Regions from separate parts of the Mus musculus genome. Here region 2 is reported to be linked to region 1. Evidence: microRNA targets listed by miRTarBase, many of them from high-throughput screens and not tested one by one. Region 1 holds a microRNA gene; the other region holds the end of a gene's coding sequence.

Region 1 (7,120 bases):
GAGGAGCTCTGGGCTTGTGCCCGCACCTTGGCACTGCAGTGCGCCATGAAGGATCCCCAGAACTGCGCCTTGCCAGCCCTGACCCTGTGTGAGAAGAACCACGCGGCCTTTGAGGCTGCCTACCAGATTGTGCTGGACGCTGCAGCCGGTGGCCTCGGCCACGCCCACCTCTTCACGGTTGCACGGTATATGGAGCATCGAGGCCTGCCTCTGCGGGCCTACAAGCTGGCCACGCTAGCCTTGGCACAACTCAGCATTGCCTTCAACCAAGACAGCCACCCTGCAGTCAACGATGTGCTGTGGGCCTGCTCCCTCAGCCACTCGCTGGGGCGGCACGAATTGTCGGCCATTGTCCCTCTCATCATCCGAAGCATCCACTGTGCACCCATGCTCTCAGACATCCTGCGACGCTGGACACTCTCAGCACCCGGGCTGGGCCCACTGGGGGCCCGCAGGGCTACCAAACCACTAGGGACTGACAGGGCACCACTTTGTCAGCTTCTGGATGCCGCAGTAGCCGCGTACATAACCACCAGCCACTCTCGCCTCACCCACATTAGCCCACGCCACTATGGTGACTTCATTGAGTTCCTGGGCAAAGCTCGAGAGACCTTCCTTCTGGCACCAGACGGGCACCTCCAGTTCGCACAGTTCTTAGAAAACCTGAAACAGACGTACAAGGGAAAGAAGAAGTTGATGCTGTTGGTTCGGGAACGGTTTGGCTGAGGAACTGCAGAAAGCCGGGAGCATGGGTGTCCCAGGCCCACCTTCCTCAAACAGGAGGCCCATGGCTACTTGCAGTAAAGTTACAGAGGTGGGAGGCAGAGGGTGACATCATTCCAGGTGTGTGCCTAGGAGTGTGCAGACAAACGGGACATGCGATCTGAGGATCCGAAGCCATACTGCTAACTAGACCCTGCAGGGAGTATGTGCCTGGGCACCTCACACGGAAGAAGCAAGCTCTGGCTCTTCCAGACTCCCAGGGTCAGCTGGGACTTCCAGGAGAAGGGCTGGGCCAGAGTGAAGTTAGGCCTCCAACTCAGTGCAGCAGATGCTCCAGAGCCGGAGCTGGCCGGAGCCTAGGCACTTCACATCAGGGTAGTTACTTCCCACTGTGTTTCTCCCCTCTCCACAGCTCAGGGCTCCTGTCCCACTGCCCTGCGCCCCCAGCCCCAGCTTTCCAGCACAAATGCCTCACCCCACTGAAGGATATTAAGAGGTCTTGGGCCTCTGCCACATACCTCACCCCCAAATACCCTTGTCAAGCCAGGGCCTGTCTTCTCTTGGGCACCAAGGTCACAGGGTAGGCTGGGGACAGCTCTCTGCTGGCCAGACCCCACCACTAGTAACTGGATACACAACTCAGGAGTCAGGCTGCCCTCCAGCCTGTTGTGGGAGGCACAGGCAGACAGCCAGGGACCCCGTTCTGTCTTCCTCTTGCTCTGCACCTCCATTTGTTTCCCCACTCCCTTAGTTTCCCCATGTCTGCATCTCTCTCAAGTCCCAGCTGCTGACAGGCCTTCCTGTATCCCAGGCCTTGGCCCAGGGAGGAAGAGAAGGGAGAGCCTCCACCCCAGACGCACCTGTCTTCTCTCTTGTATATTAAGGAAAAAGTTGGCATCATTTTGTAACTTTTTTTCTTATTTATTGAACCCCATACTGTATTCTTTTCCTTTTTTTTTCCTTTTTTTTTAAAAAAAAGATTGAACACAACTTCTTTTTAACTTCAAGACTGGGTTGCATTGCTAACACAAACACCCGGGGCCAGGGGTACCTACCACCTGCTCAATTAACCAAAAAATTTTCCATCTCGGTTTTTGGGCACAACTTGAATGGGACAGGAGAGGCTGCTGGTTTCTTCATGGCATCGTGGTGACACGAAGAGCCACCTCTTGCTGGTGGCTTTACTGCTTTTCCATCTGCATGTCATAATCTCTGCAAGTCAGGAGGCTTAAAACGCCCAAACCTAGAGTCTGTAGGTTTTTGGAAAATGCACCCAGATTGCACTGTCCTTCATTGCAGGAAATGACCACCAGGGGGCGTCTGGCTCCAGACAACGTCATTCGGAGCTCCGGAGGTCTCACCAGGTGCGGAGGGCAGCTGGGGACGCCTGTGTCCCCAGTGACCTGCCCATTGCATTTTTGGGCTGTGGATGAGACTCCCGTTCTTAGATGGATTCATCCAGCGGACGGCCTGGGCATTCTTCTCATTCTCCGGTTCTTTATGTCCTTAGCTGTGTCTGACAGGGTCATTGTTTAGGACCGTTCTCTTGGAAGCTGTGTGTGTGTGTGTGTTGCCTCTGTGGGGCACTATGGGAGCTGGCTGTGACTATGAGTGTGGCCATAGTTCATGGTGCGTTCCTTTGCTCCAGGGAGCCGATCAGAGGCGATCCGCCCCTTAGCCCTTCTGGCGCAGACGGGCGCGCGCGCGTGCGTGCGTGCGTGCGTGTGTGTGTGTGTGTGTGTGTGTGTGTGTGTGTGTGTAGACGGGCGCGCGCGCGTGCGTGTGTGTGTGCATGCGCGCGTGTCTGTCTGTGCTCGCATATGTGCCCGTCCTTAAGCCCTGTGTGTGTGTGTGTGTGTGTGTGTGTGCATGCGCGCGTGTCTGTCTGTGCGCGCATATGTGCCCGTCCTTAAGCCCTGGCATCTTGCCAGTCAGTGCATCCCAGCATAGGCAGAGTACATTCTTGTAACATACTCCCTCATGGAACTGGGGTGACCACAGATTGGTCTCATACACCCCAGGTCTGGGTTATCCCTCCCGTTCAAGCCATCCCCAAAGGATCCCAGGATCTTCAGGTCGCAGCACCTACTGACCACAGAACTATATTTACACCTTCCTAGAAGCAGGTGGAGCAAGGTTGGGGATAGGTGCAATGCAGGTTAGGAGCCCAGGGTGTGGTAGATATAGTGGTGCAGCTGGTATTCCCAAACTCCAGACACTGGAGGAGTTTGATTCAAGGTCAGCCTGGTCTACACAGAAATGCTGTTTCAAGAGAAATGAAAAAAGCCAGCAACACACATGTGGGAGGCGGGAATGAAGAGACGTCAGCCCTTACGGAATGAGGCTGTGGAGCTTTTATTTAGTTGGAGAACAACATTCAATACAAGCTTTCAACTCTGTTCTTCCACCCAGGCTTCGATTTGCCCCTGCCCAGAGTAGGGAGAGGACACTGTATGGTCTGGGAAGTGTAACTCAGCCAGTTCCAATTAGTCTGCATGCAGTCTCATTTGTGGGTAGTAGGCAACTTTTTAACTTCCAAGCCTGGAGATTACTTCAACAGGCCAATGGGGGGGGGGGGCATGGATCTGTTCATATCCTGAGGCCTGTGTGGACCTCGCTCCCTGCCTCGCTGTCACCAGCAGAAAGCTGCAGACCCCATGGGATTGCTAGGCACACTGGATCAGGTCAGTGCCTTCTTCCGGAAGCAGAGAGTTGGCATTTAACCGTTAGAGGGCCTAAAGCAGCTTCCTCTTGGGTAACTGACTTCAAAGATGGTATGTATAAGGGGTGGTGCCTGAGCCCCACCAGACTTAGGAAAAGAAGGGCTTCCAGGCCCTGAGGGGACATAACTGGCTTTTAATGCAAGGGTTACCCGCCCATCTATCTGCTTTGGGGAACCACAGAAATCTCAAGGTGGACACCCAGATGCAGGCTTAGAGGCTGAGCCTCCAGCAGACAACGGGGCTTAGGTTGGACTAATTACCCCATTGTTTCCAGGTCTTGCTCACGGCAGACATTCTGCAGGGTTGCCAGCTCCTAGGGGGCTGGACTCCTGTTCCTGCTGAACTGAGCCAGTGCACTGGAATCAACTGTTTCAGCTCAGTAGGCACGGGAGGCGGAGCCCGGAGAGAGGCAGAGCCCTGCCAGCCAGGAGGCAGAGCAGGGTGGGCAGCAGCGGCCTGAGGAGATGGGGTCCAGGGGGCGGAACTTAGCCACTGTGAACACGACTTTGCTGTGGACCTTGCTCACAAGCAGCTAAGCCCTGCTCCTCAGGCCAGTTGTCATGATAGGCTTCTCTGTTACCCAGTACCCAAGACAGACATCCTTGGCGACAGGAGCCCCCAAGGCAGAGCACAGGGTCAGTTGGAAATCCCTGGCAATGTGATTTGTGACTGGCATCAAATCCCATCCCCAGGAACCCCAGCCGTCCGAGGCACAGTGAGGGGGGCAGCAGGTGGGAGCGGAGTGTAGCACCTAAAGAGAGAAAGAAGAGACAGTGAGATTGGAGCATTCTTGCTTGCCTGCCTATCTTGACCAGGCTGGGTCTCACATAGCTGAACACAAGGTTTCCGAATGCACCAGTTCTTCCTGCCTCTACCTCTGGAGTCTAGGATTATAGGTACACCTCACCACACACAGTTTAAGTGGTGCTGGGGACAGAATCTAAACTCAGCTTGCTGATCCACACCCTAGCCCTCCTCTACTTCCAAGAGGGAAGAAGCATTCCCAAAAAAGAGGAGCATCGATCCGTAGGAAGGTTGGAGCGAGGCTGCTGGATGCTGGGCACCCAGCAGTGCCTCTACCCCAGCCCTACAAAGCGGGAGGTGCCTGAAGCCCTAAGGCCAAAGGGGCTGCAGAGCCTTCCCAGCTGCTTCCCACTCTGCTTCTATCCCCACCCACAGCCCTGAGCCCAAAGCAGGCCAAATGGGGCCATGGAGAGGAAGCTGAGGGAGGTGGACGGTTGGAGGGAGGAAGTGACCTCACCCCAGCTGGCGCCACTTCCTAGAAGCCTGAAGGGCAGGAGGAAACTCCAGGGCCTCCCACCTCAGCCCTCTCCTCCCCAGCCAGCTCAGACATAACCCCACCCCCACCCCACACCACCTAGGGCCCAAGCAAGGAGAAGCAGGCCGATGCACCCCAACAATAACACCTCAGTAAAGTTTCCCCTAGGCCTTCCAAGCCTCAGTTTCCCCATCTGTAAAGCAGACTACAACAGTTGCAGTTGGTGGCTCACGTTTATCTCAGCATTGAGGAAACTGAGGCAGGAAGGTTGCCAAGAATGGAGTCAAAAGCCTGCTTAAGCTACATGATGAGTTTTAGGCCTAACTGGGCTACAGTTTGAGACCCTAGTCTTAAATAGAAGAAAAACAAAAATAAAACAACAAAACCCCAAACCTTCTACTAGGAAGGCCAGTGAAAACTTACAGAGAAGGTATTTAGCACCCAGTACCAGGGCAAGCCACAAAATTTGGGGCCTACCCAATGTAGAGTAGTGTCCTGCGTGCCAGTTAAAGTTTTCAGGGGCCAGCAAGCTGATCCAGCAAGTGAGCAGAGCTGCTATGGAGCCCAATGCCCTGAGCTCAAACCCAAGAACCACGAAGAAGAAAAGCATACGGACCCTTGCAAGTTGTCCTCTGATCTCTGCACTTGGGAACACACACACACAATTTTTAAAAATTGTTTAAAGAATTTCAATGTTGGAGAGATGACAGGTTTCTTTCCCAGAACCTACATGACAAGCACAGCTATCTATAGCTCCATTCCCAAGAGCTCCAACGCTCCCCACTGGCCCCTGTGGGTACCAGGCATACATATGGTGCACAGACGTACGCGTAAGCAAACATTCACAAACAGACAATAAAAATAAACTTAAGAATGGTGGTGCACACTGTTAGTCCCAGCACTTGAAAGGCAAAGGAAAGCAAGAACCAGGCCTTGGACAGTACTATCTCTAAGAGTTCAAGGCCAGCTTGGTCTGTGTAGGGAGTTTCAGACCATCCAGGGCTACATAGTGACACAAGTGACCTTGTTTCAGATAAAGAGCTGACTCAGTGGTTAAGAGTGGCTACTGCTCTTGCAGAGGGCCCGAGTTTGGATCTCAGCACCTGTCACAACTACCTGTAACTCCAGCTTCTGGGGATTTCACTCCCTCTTCTGGTCTCTGAGTGTACTGCACTGTCATGCACAAAGACCAGACAACACACACACACACACACACACACACACACACACACACACACACACGTCTTCTTTATAAAACATCAGGGTCGGGCTGGTGAGATGGCTCAGTTGGTAAGAGCACCCGACTGCTCTTCCGAAGGTCCGGAGTTCAAATCCCAGCAACCACATGGTGGCTCAAAACCATCTGTAACGAGATCTGACTCCCTCTTCTGGAGTGTCTGAAGACAGCTACAGTGTACTTACATATAATAAATAAATAAATCTTAAAAAAAAAAAAAAAAACATCAGGGTCTTCAGTGATAGGTCAATCAATAAAGTGGTCACCATGTAAGCAAAAGGGCTTGTGTTGTCCCCAGGTATGGCAATTCACACTTGTAATTCCAGAGCTGGGGAAGGGAAGCCACAAGATGCTCTAGGGCTCACCACCAGCCCGCCTCACCAGCTCCATGTCCCAGTAAGACACCTTCTCTGAGAAAACAAGGTTGGAGCTAGAGAGATGGCTCAGTGGTTAAGAGCATTTGTTGCTCTTTCAGAGGACCTGGGTTGAGTTCCCTGCACCTACACAGTGGCTCACAACCATCTGTAACTCCAGTTACAGGAGATTCTATGTCTCCCACCTTTTAGGACATCAGACACACACAATCCTGAGAAACTACACTTGACATTGCACTCTGTACACACACACACACACACACACACACACACACACACACAAAAGGGAGGAGAGTAGAATTTTCATGCCATGCACCAGGGCCAGGTCTTATATAAGCCCTACAGTGGTGCATACCTGTGATCCCAGCTAGGAAGAGACAGAAGCAGGAAGATATATATGAGTTTGAGGCCAGCCTGGTCTACATATGAGGCCCTTTTTAAAGGGGGAGGGGGAGGAAAGGGAAGGAAAGGGTTTTGGCTACGGGACACTCAGTTCTGGAGCTCGTCAGCCTGCATGTGAGCTATGCAGCTTCTTTGCTGGCTGACTATGGGCAAAGAACACACGTGCTCTGTGGCAAAGTCTCTGTCTGCAAGAAAGCAAAAATGAATCATTTCAGAGCTCGAGATGATGTGACATGACAGCAGACTGCAGACGTGTAATCCCTATATCTAGGACAGGGGTAAAAAGATCTCAATTTAGAAGCCAGCCTGGGCTACCAAGACATGGTGTGTCTCAAAAAGAAAGGGCTAGAGATGGCTCAGCACTTGCTGCTCTTCCGGGGGT
Region 2 (7,120 bases), not on the chromosome of region 1:
AGGACCAAATAAAAGCTTGCTCTCTCTCTCTCTCTCTCTCTCTCTCTCTCTCTCTCTCTCTCTCTTCCGTTCTTCCTTCCTTCCTTTCTCCCTTCCTTTCTTTCTCTTTTCTTTTCTTTTCTTTTCTTTTCTTTTCTTTTCTTTCTTTCTTTCTTTCTTTCTTTCTTTCTCTCACTCTCCCTCCCACCCTCCCTTTCCTTCCTTCCTTCCTTCCTTCCTACCTTCCTTCCTTCTTTCCTTCCAACACTGGCTGTCCTAGAACACACTATGTAGACCACCATGCTAGCCTTGAATTCTCAGAGATCTGCCTGCCTCTGCCTCACAAGTTCTAAGATTAAAGATGTGAGCTACCACACCCAGCATTCTTTCTTTCTCTCTCTCTCTCTTTCTCTCTTTCTTTTTCTCTTTTCCTTTTTTTTTCTTTCTTTCCTTTTCTTTCTTTTTCTTTTTCTTTTTTAGGCTGGCTCTTAATAAGCTGTTCACACTGGCTTTGAACTCACTTTATAGCTCAGACAGGCTTTGAACTTTTGTCTTCCTGCCTCAGCCTCCTGAGTCGCTGGGATTACAGGCCTGTGCCATCACAGAAGAAATCTAGATGCTACATCACACTTTTTCTCTACCACCAGGGATCGAACAAGAGTTTCCCTGAAGCCAGCATTGCCAAGAGATACCTTCTCTCAGCCTTGCTGGCATGGCCTGCTGTTCTCAACACTCTTCCGGGGTGGTTTGAGAACTGCTTAGGCTGTCGGGCTGCTCCTTACTCTCTCCCATGTCCCAACAGCCTTTTGTTTGGTTGGTTTGATTTTTCCAGTTAGGAGCCTGTGCTCTAGCACAAATTTAGTGAGGCACACTAAGATGAGTTCGAGCCACCACGCCTGTCTCTCACCTTGAGTGGGCTGCGTTTCAGCCCACCCCTTAGAGCCCTTGTGATTCGTAGGGTGTGTGTGCTAGGCTCTATGCTATGGGAATTCTGCCCCAGCCCCTTCCCACCTAGGTTGGGAGAGTGTGCCCTGGTGAGTGAGGGGCTGAAAAATGGCTGGTAAGAGGGTTGCGCTCAGTTTTGGGACCGATCTCGAACCCACACCTTTTGCTCACTAACCCACTGTCTGCGGGTCCAAGCTAATTCCTACTTCCTCCTCTCCCCAGAGACAAGAAGAGCAGCATCGACACCGACCCTCACCCTGGAGGGTCATGTACAATCTCTTCATGGGACTCCTCCCCTTACCCAGGGATCCTGGAGCCCCAGAAATGGAGCCCAACTAGGTGCCTACACCCGCCCGGGGGACGTCGGAGACTTGGGGGGCAGGACCCCCTCCGCCTTCTGACACCCTGGCCAGCGCGGGGGACTTTTTCTGCACCATGTAGCATACTGGACTGCCAGCCTTGCCCGTCCCAGGGGCAGGCAAGGGATGCCACTCGAGCCCGGGCAGCCTGGGTGCACTGATGGAGATACGGACTTGGGGGGACCCTGGCCTCCCGAAAGCCAGGGAAGGGAGGGCTGAAGGACTCATGGTGACTGAGGGGGTGGGGACCGAGCCGCCCGCCTCTGCCGCCCACCACCATCTCAGGAAAGGCTGCTGGTGCTGGCTGCCCGTTCCAGCTGCAGGGGGGACGCTGGGGGTGTCCCCAGTGCGCCTTCACTTTGGGCCTGGCCTCAGGCCCCTGGTGCTTCCCCCCCTCCTCCTGAGGAGGGGGTCTGTGAAGAGCATATGAGCCAAACCTGACCACTAGCCTCCTGGAGCCAGAGAATGGGGGGCGTGTGAAGGCCTTCTTAACCCAGTGCCCAGCCATCTTCCCTGAGCCGCCGGCGGGCGGTGAACGATGCCTGCCTCACCTTCATCTGGGGGTGTCCAGGAGGGGTCCAGACTGTGAATCCTGTGCTCTGCCCGGGACCACCCCCCCCCCCCCAATCCCCATCCATCTCATTGCATAGGTTTAGAGAGAGCACGTGTGACCACTGGCATTCATTTGGGGGGTGGGAGATATTGGCGGAAGCCACCCCAGCCTTAGTCCCCAGGGCAAAGCGCTGGGGAGGAAGATGGGGAGTCAGGGAGGGGGGAAGTCTCAGAAGAGGGAGGAGTCTGGGAGCGGGGAGGGACGGCCCAGCCTGTAAGATACTGTACATGCACTGCTGTAGATATACTGGAATGAATTTTCTGTACATGTTTGGTTAATTTTTTTTGTACATGATTTTTGTATGTTTCCTTTTCAATAAAATCAGATTGAACAGTGAACACTCTTTTTGTTAGCTTTACCAGTGACAGAGCATCTGGCACTACCTGTAAGGACATGAAAGAAACGGTGTGTGTGTGTATGTGTGTGTGTGTGTGTGTGTGTGTGTGTGAGAAATGGCTCAGTGGTTAAGAGCACTGACTGCTCTTCCAGAGGTCCTGAGTTCAAATCCCAGCAACCACATGGTGGCTCACAACCATCATAATGAGATCAGACACCCTCTTCTGGAGTGTCTGAAGGCAGCTACAGTGTACTTACATATAACAATAAATAAATGTAAAAAAGAGAAAGAAAGAAAGAAACTGGAACTTTTGGACTCTTAAGGGGCAGTCATACTAAAAGGTAAGCTAGAGGCTGGTCTGGTGGCACAGGCCTGTCGTAGCTAGTTGGAAGGCCTGAGCAACTGAGACCCAGTCTCAGCAATGGGGAGGGGACAGGTGGAGGGGACAGGCGGAGCGCTGGCTCAGCAGGTAGAAGTATGGGCTGTTCTTCAAGAGGATCTGCATTTAGGTCCCAGCACCCATGCTGCAGCTCACACTCTGTAACTCAAGTTCCAGATCTGATACCTCCTGGCCTGCGGGTACCAGGCATGTGCACAGGGCCCATTCCATGCGGACAAGGAAACCCAAAACCCCAAAAACACATATGCACATAAAATAGGTAAATGTGCCAGGGAGGTGGCTCAACTGTGAAGAGCACCAGCCGTTCTTCCAGAGGTCCTGAGTTCAATTCCCAGCTACCACATGGTGGCTCACAACTATGTATAATGTTATCCAATGCCCTCTTCTGGCCTGCAGGCTTTCATATAGATACAAACTTCATATACAATTAATTTAAAAATAAAGCCGGGCGTGGTAACACACACCTTTAATCCCAGCACTTGGGAGGCAGAGGCAGGTGGATCTATGAGTTTGAGGCCAGCCTGGTCTACAGAGTGAGTTCCAGGACAGCCAGGGCTACACAGAGAAACCCTGTCTCAAACAAACAAACAAACAAACAAAAAAACAGTAGAAAGACTGGGAGCATTGCTCAGTGGTAGAGCCCCTGCCTAGTAGGATATGGAGGTGTGGCTCAACTGAGCACAAAGTCCTGGGTTCAGTTACTTATACCAAGAGAAAAAAGGAAGGCGGGATGAAAGAGGCACAGAAGTTGTAGCTACACAGAGCTGGCAGCCACTGCTGTAGTCTTGAGAGCAAGCACACACAGGGACTAATACTTCATGTGTACTTATTTCATCAGGTATGAAGAGTGTAACTAAGCTTAAGATTTACTGTACGAACGAACGAATAGCTTATAGTTTAGAAGCCACTGTTTCAAGAGCTTGAGTTACAGATTGTGAGCTCTGTCCTGAATGACATGGGGTCTAGCCTGGCCCTGTGACCAGCCTCAGGTTGCTCTCTGGCTGGAAAGGGACCTGGAGCTAAGATCAGAACTAGACATTCCTTGCACCATTGTCCTAAGGCCAGGCACATGGCCAGCTCTCGATGCTGAGCACAGCCTCAGAACCCACTTTGCATTATTTTGAGAAAGGAGAGTTTTTCCTACTAACTGACTGAGAATTGGCAGTCCTTGAACCCACTCAAGTGCCAGCTTTGTAATGACTTCAGGGAGAGGCAGATATGTAGTATATCCCTTCCTGGTGGCCAGTGACAGTAAAAAGCAATTTAGGGGAAGTGGATCTTCTAGAGGGCTGTGGGCATAGAGGAGAGGAATCTGATGAAGCCATATCCACTGCCCTCCTGAGCATCTCCACGAGAAGAACATATATGTGTTCAAGAGTCCAAGTGTACTGTGCACACAGCAGTTCTCAAAAGTGCCAAGTCGACGGGCAGTGGTGGCGTACACCTTTGATCCCAGCACTTGGGAGGCAAAGGCAGGCAGATTTCTGAGTTTGAGGCCAGCCTGGTCTACAAAGTGAGTTCCAGGACAGCCAGGGCTATAAGGGAAACCCTGTCTCAAAAAAACAAAAACAAAAACAAAAACAAAACAAAACAAAACAAAACAAAAAAAAAGTGCCAAGTCTGGGGTGTGATGTGGTAGCACACACCTTTAATCCCAGCACTCAGGAGGCAGAGGCAGGCAGATCTCCGAGTATGGCTACAGAGAGAAACTTTGTGGGTGGGGGGAAGTGCCAAGACTAATTAATTGCCACCAGGCATGAGAACCTAACTTCAGCCCCCAGACTCATATTATAGAAGGAGAGAACTATTCTCTACAAGTTGTCCTCTGACCTCCATCCACAGAAGCACTGTGTCTCTAAAACTATTGATTCCTTTAATATTTTTAATATCTTTAATAAGATTTAACTGATTAATTTTCATAAGTATTGTATGGGCCAGATTGCTAACACCTGTCTGAAATTCCAGTACTTGGGGAATGGCGGGGGGGTGGGGGGTGGCGGCGGCAGGAGGATCAGGAGTCCAAGGGCAGTCCAGGGATGGGTGAGACCTTATATTAGGCAATTTCTTGTTGCTGCTACCAAAATATTTGCTAACAAGCAGCGTTGTTGTTGGTGACTGGAGAGACGGCCAGGTGCTTCACAGTACTCCTGGTTTTTGGAGAAGGCTTAGGTTGAGTTCCCAGCACTTGCAGGGCAGCTGATAACATCCGCTCCAGGGGAACTGATGTCTTCTTCTGGCTTTTCTGTGCACTAGACACACATGGTGCCCAGACAAACCTACAGTGGACAAAACATGGAGATACAAAAAATGAATTTTGCCGGGCATGGTGGCACACGCCTTTAATCCCAGCACTCGGGAGGCAGAGGCAGGCAGATTTCTGAGTTCGAGGCCAGCCTGGTCTACAAAGTGAGTTCCAGGACAGCCAGGGCTACACAGAGAAACCCTGTCTCAAAAAAAAAAGAGAGAGAGAGAGAGAAAGAAAGAAAGAGAGAGAGGCAGAGAGAGAGAGAAAGAAAGAAAGAAAAGAAAGGAAGGAAGGAAGGAAGGAAGGAAGGAAGGAAGGAAGGAAGGAAGAGTTTTAGCCTGAGCTGTAAGATAGCGAGGGTAAAGTCTTTTCCCCTGCCTTCCACTGGCTCATTTACATTTTGCTTGGTGCCTTGGTGACTGTGCAGGTATGCCTGCTTTGAGACAGGATTTTCTCATGGAGCTCTGGCGATCTGCCCTCATCATCAATCTTGGTTACAGGCACAGGCAGCCACACCCAGCCTTTCACATGGGATCCAGGGATTCAAACTCAGGCTTGAGTTTTACCCACACAGAGCCAACTTCCTGGTCTTATTCATGTTTTATGGGGCAACCATAAAACCCATGGCAGGCAAGTGCTAAGTCACTAAGCTATACCCCAACTCTCCCTTCAGCATTTTAAGTAGTTTTACAGACGCTTGCCCTCTCTTTTTTGCTTTTGAGACAAGTTTCGATTAGCCCAAGATGGCCTTGAACACCCAATCCCCAATCTTCCTGCTTCCCCTCCTCAGCATTGGCAATGGATCCCAGGGCTTTGTGCATGCCAGCCACACGCCAGCCTCTCAACTCGCCATTAAGGGTCAAGCCCATCCTGTTGACTGGAGGAGGCAGCCCTGGACATTTGATTGCTTGTCTGGCTGCTCACAGCTCTAGCAGCACAAGAGCAGAAAGATCAGGCTAGAAGCAGGGAATAGGGACCCCTCAGAGCACCCTGCCCAGAAACACAGCGCATCCACCAGCCACACTTTTACAGTGCCAAAGACAGTGCCACCAAGGAGCAAACGTCCACAGACAGAAACCTGTGGAGAATCCATTCAAACCAATACATGTGCATGCATGTGTGTGCGCATGCTCACTACACACATAGGGGCATATGTGCACACATACATACACACACATACATATATGTATACATGCATACCAACTTGGAACATGATTTCCCTCTGGAGCCCAGACTGGCTTCCGACTTACTATATCCACACTAACTTAGTCTTCCATTTTCGGTTTGTTTGTTTTCCAAAACAGGGTTTCTCGGTTTCTCTGTGTAGCCCTGGCTGTTCTGAAACTCACGCTGTAGACCAGGCTGGCCTCGAACTCAGAAATTCACCTGCCTCTGCCTCCCCGAGTGCTGGGATTAAAGGCGTGCGTCACCACGCCCGGCTAGGGTTTCTTGATATAGCCCCGGAACTCATTTTTTTTAAAAAGATTTATTATTATTATATCTAAGTACACTGTAGTTGTCTTCAGATGCACCAGAAGAGGGCGTCAGATCTCATTACAGATGGTTGTGAGCCACCATGTGGTTGCTGGGATTTGAACTCCGGACCTTCAGAAGAGCAGTCAGTGCTCTTACCCACTGAGCCATCTCTCCAGCCCCCTGGAACTCATTTTTTAGGCCAGGCTGGATTTATAGATTCATCTGCCTCTGCCTTCTAAGTGCTGGGATTAAAAGTGTGCTCCACCCTCCCTCAGTCCTCCATTTTCTGCCTGAGTCTGAGTACTAGGTTCATAGGTTTGAGCCAACACATTTGCCTCTTAGTTAGCTTTATAATTTGAATAATTTGTGGGTGGGCAGTAAAGTTCTGGTTATATAGCATGAAGCCTTGTGTACCATAGTTCAGACCTTGAGATCATTTCTCACAAGAGGTTATGAAGTTTTTAACACAGTGTATGTATACTTCATGTATATATTGGTGTGTATATGCATGTGTCTGTGTCTATATGTATATGTACCTATGTCTGTATATGTATGTATGTATCTTTGAGTGTGTGTGTGTGTGTGTGTGTGTGTGTGTGTGTGTGTAGGACAGAGAACAACTTGTGAAATTCAGGGTTTGTATTTTACCGCATGGGTCCTAGGGAACAAACTCCAGGAAGCTCCTGTACCCGCTGAGTCACCTTGCTCAACCTTTTCAATCTTTCAAACTTTTTGGGGGGCTGCAAAATTTCTTACTGTGTTTTCG

The links. The annotated mature microRNA mmu-miR-23a-3p reads AUCACAUUGCCAGGGAUUUCC and lies in region 1 at 4,089-4,109, opposite strand. An mRNA with a match to its seed (bases 2 to 7 or 8) in the 3' UTR can be bound and repressed. Matches are read on the target gene's strand: a 7mer-m8 pairs with bases 2 to 8, a 7mer-A1 pairs with bases 2 to 7 and ends in A, and an 8mer does both.
Region 2: miRTarBase lists Bbc3 as a target of mmu-miR-23a-3p. The part of its 3' UTR that is shown has no 7-base or 8-base seed match.

What each region holds. Positions count from the first base shown.
Region 1 is chr8:84,205,552-84,212,671 of GRCm38, reverse strand. It overlaps Mir23a (microRNA 23a), which reads right to left and starts at 4,154; the gene lies at 4,080-4,154. Zswim4 (zinc finger SWIM-type containing 4) reads left to right here. Exons shown (of 14, transcript NM_172503.3): 14 at 1-1,730. The coding sequence ends at 726. It overlaps Mir27a (microRNA 27a), which reads right to left and starts at 4,000; the gene lies at 3,914-4,000. It overlaps Mir24-2 (microRNA 24-2), which reads right to left and starts at 3,857; the gene lies at 3,751-3,857. It also overlaps Mir3074-2.
Region 2 is chr7:16,315,972-16,323,091 of GRCm38, forward strand. Bbc3 (BCL2 binding component 3) reads left to right here. Exons shown (of 4, transcript NM_133234.2): 4 at 1,147-2,363. The coding sequence ends at 1,263. It also overlaps a transcript of Sae1 not described here. Among named protein-coding and RNA genes, the nearest start is that of Bbc3, 9.9 kb to the left of the region's middle.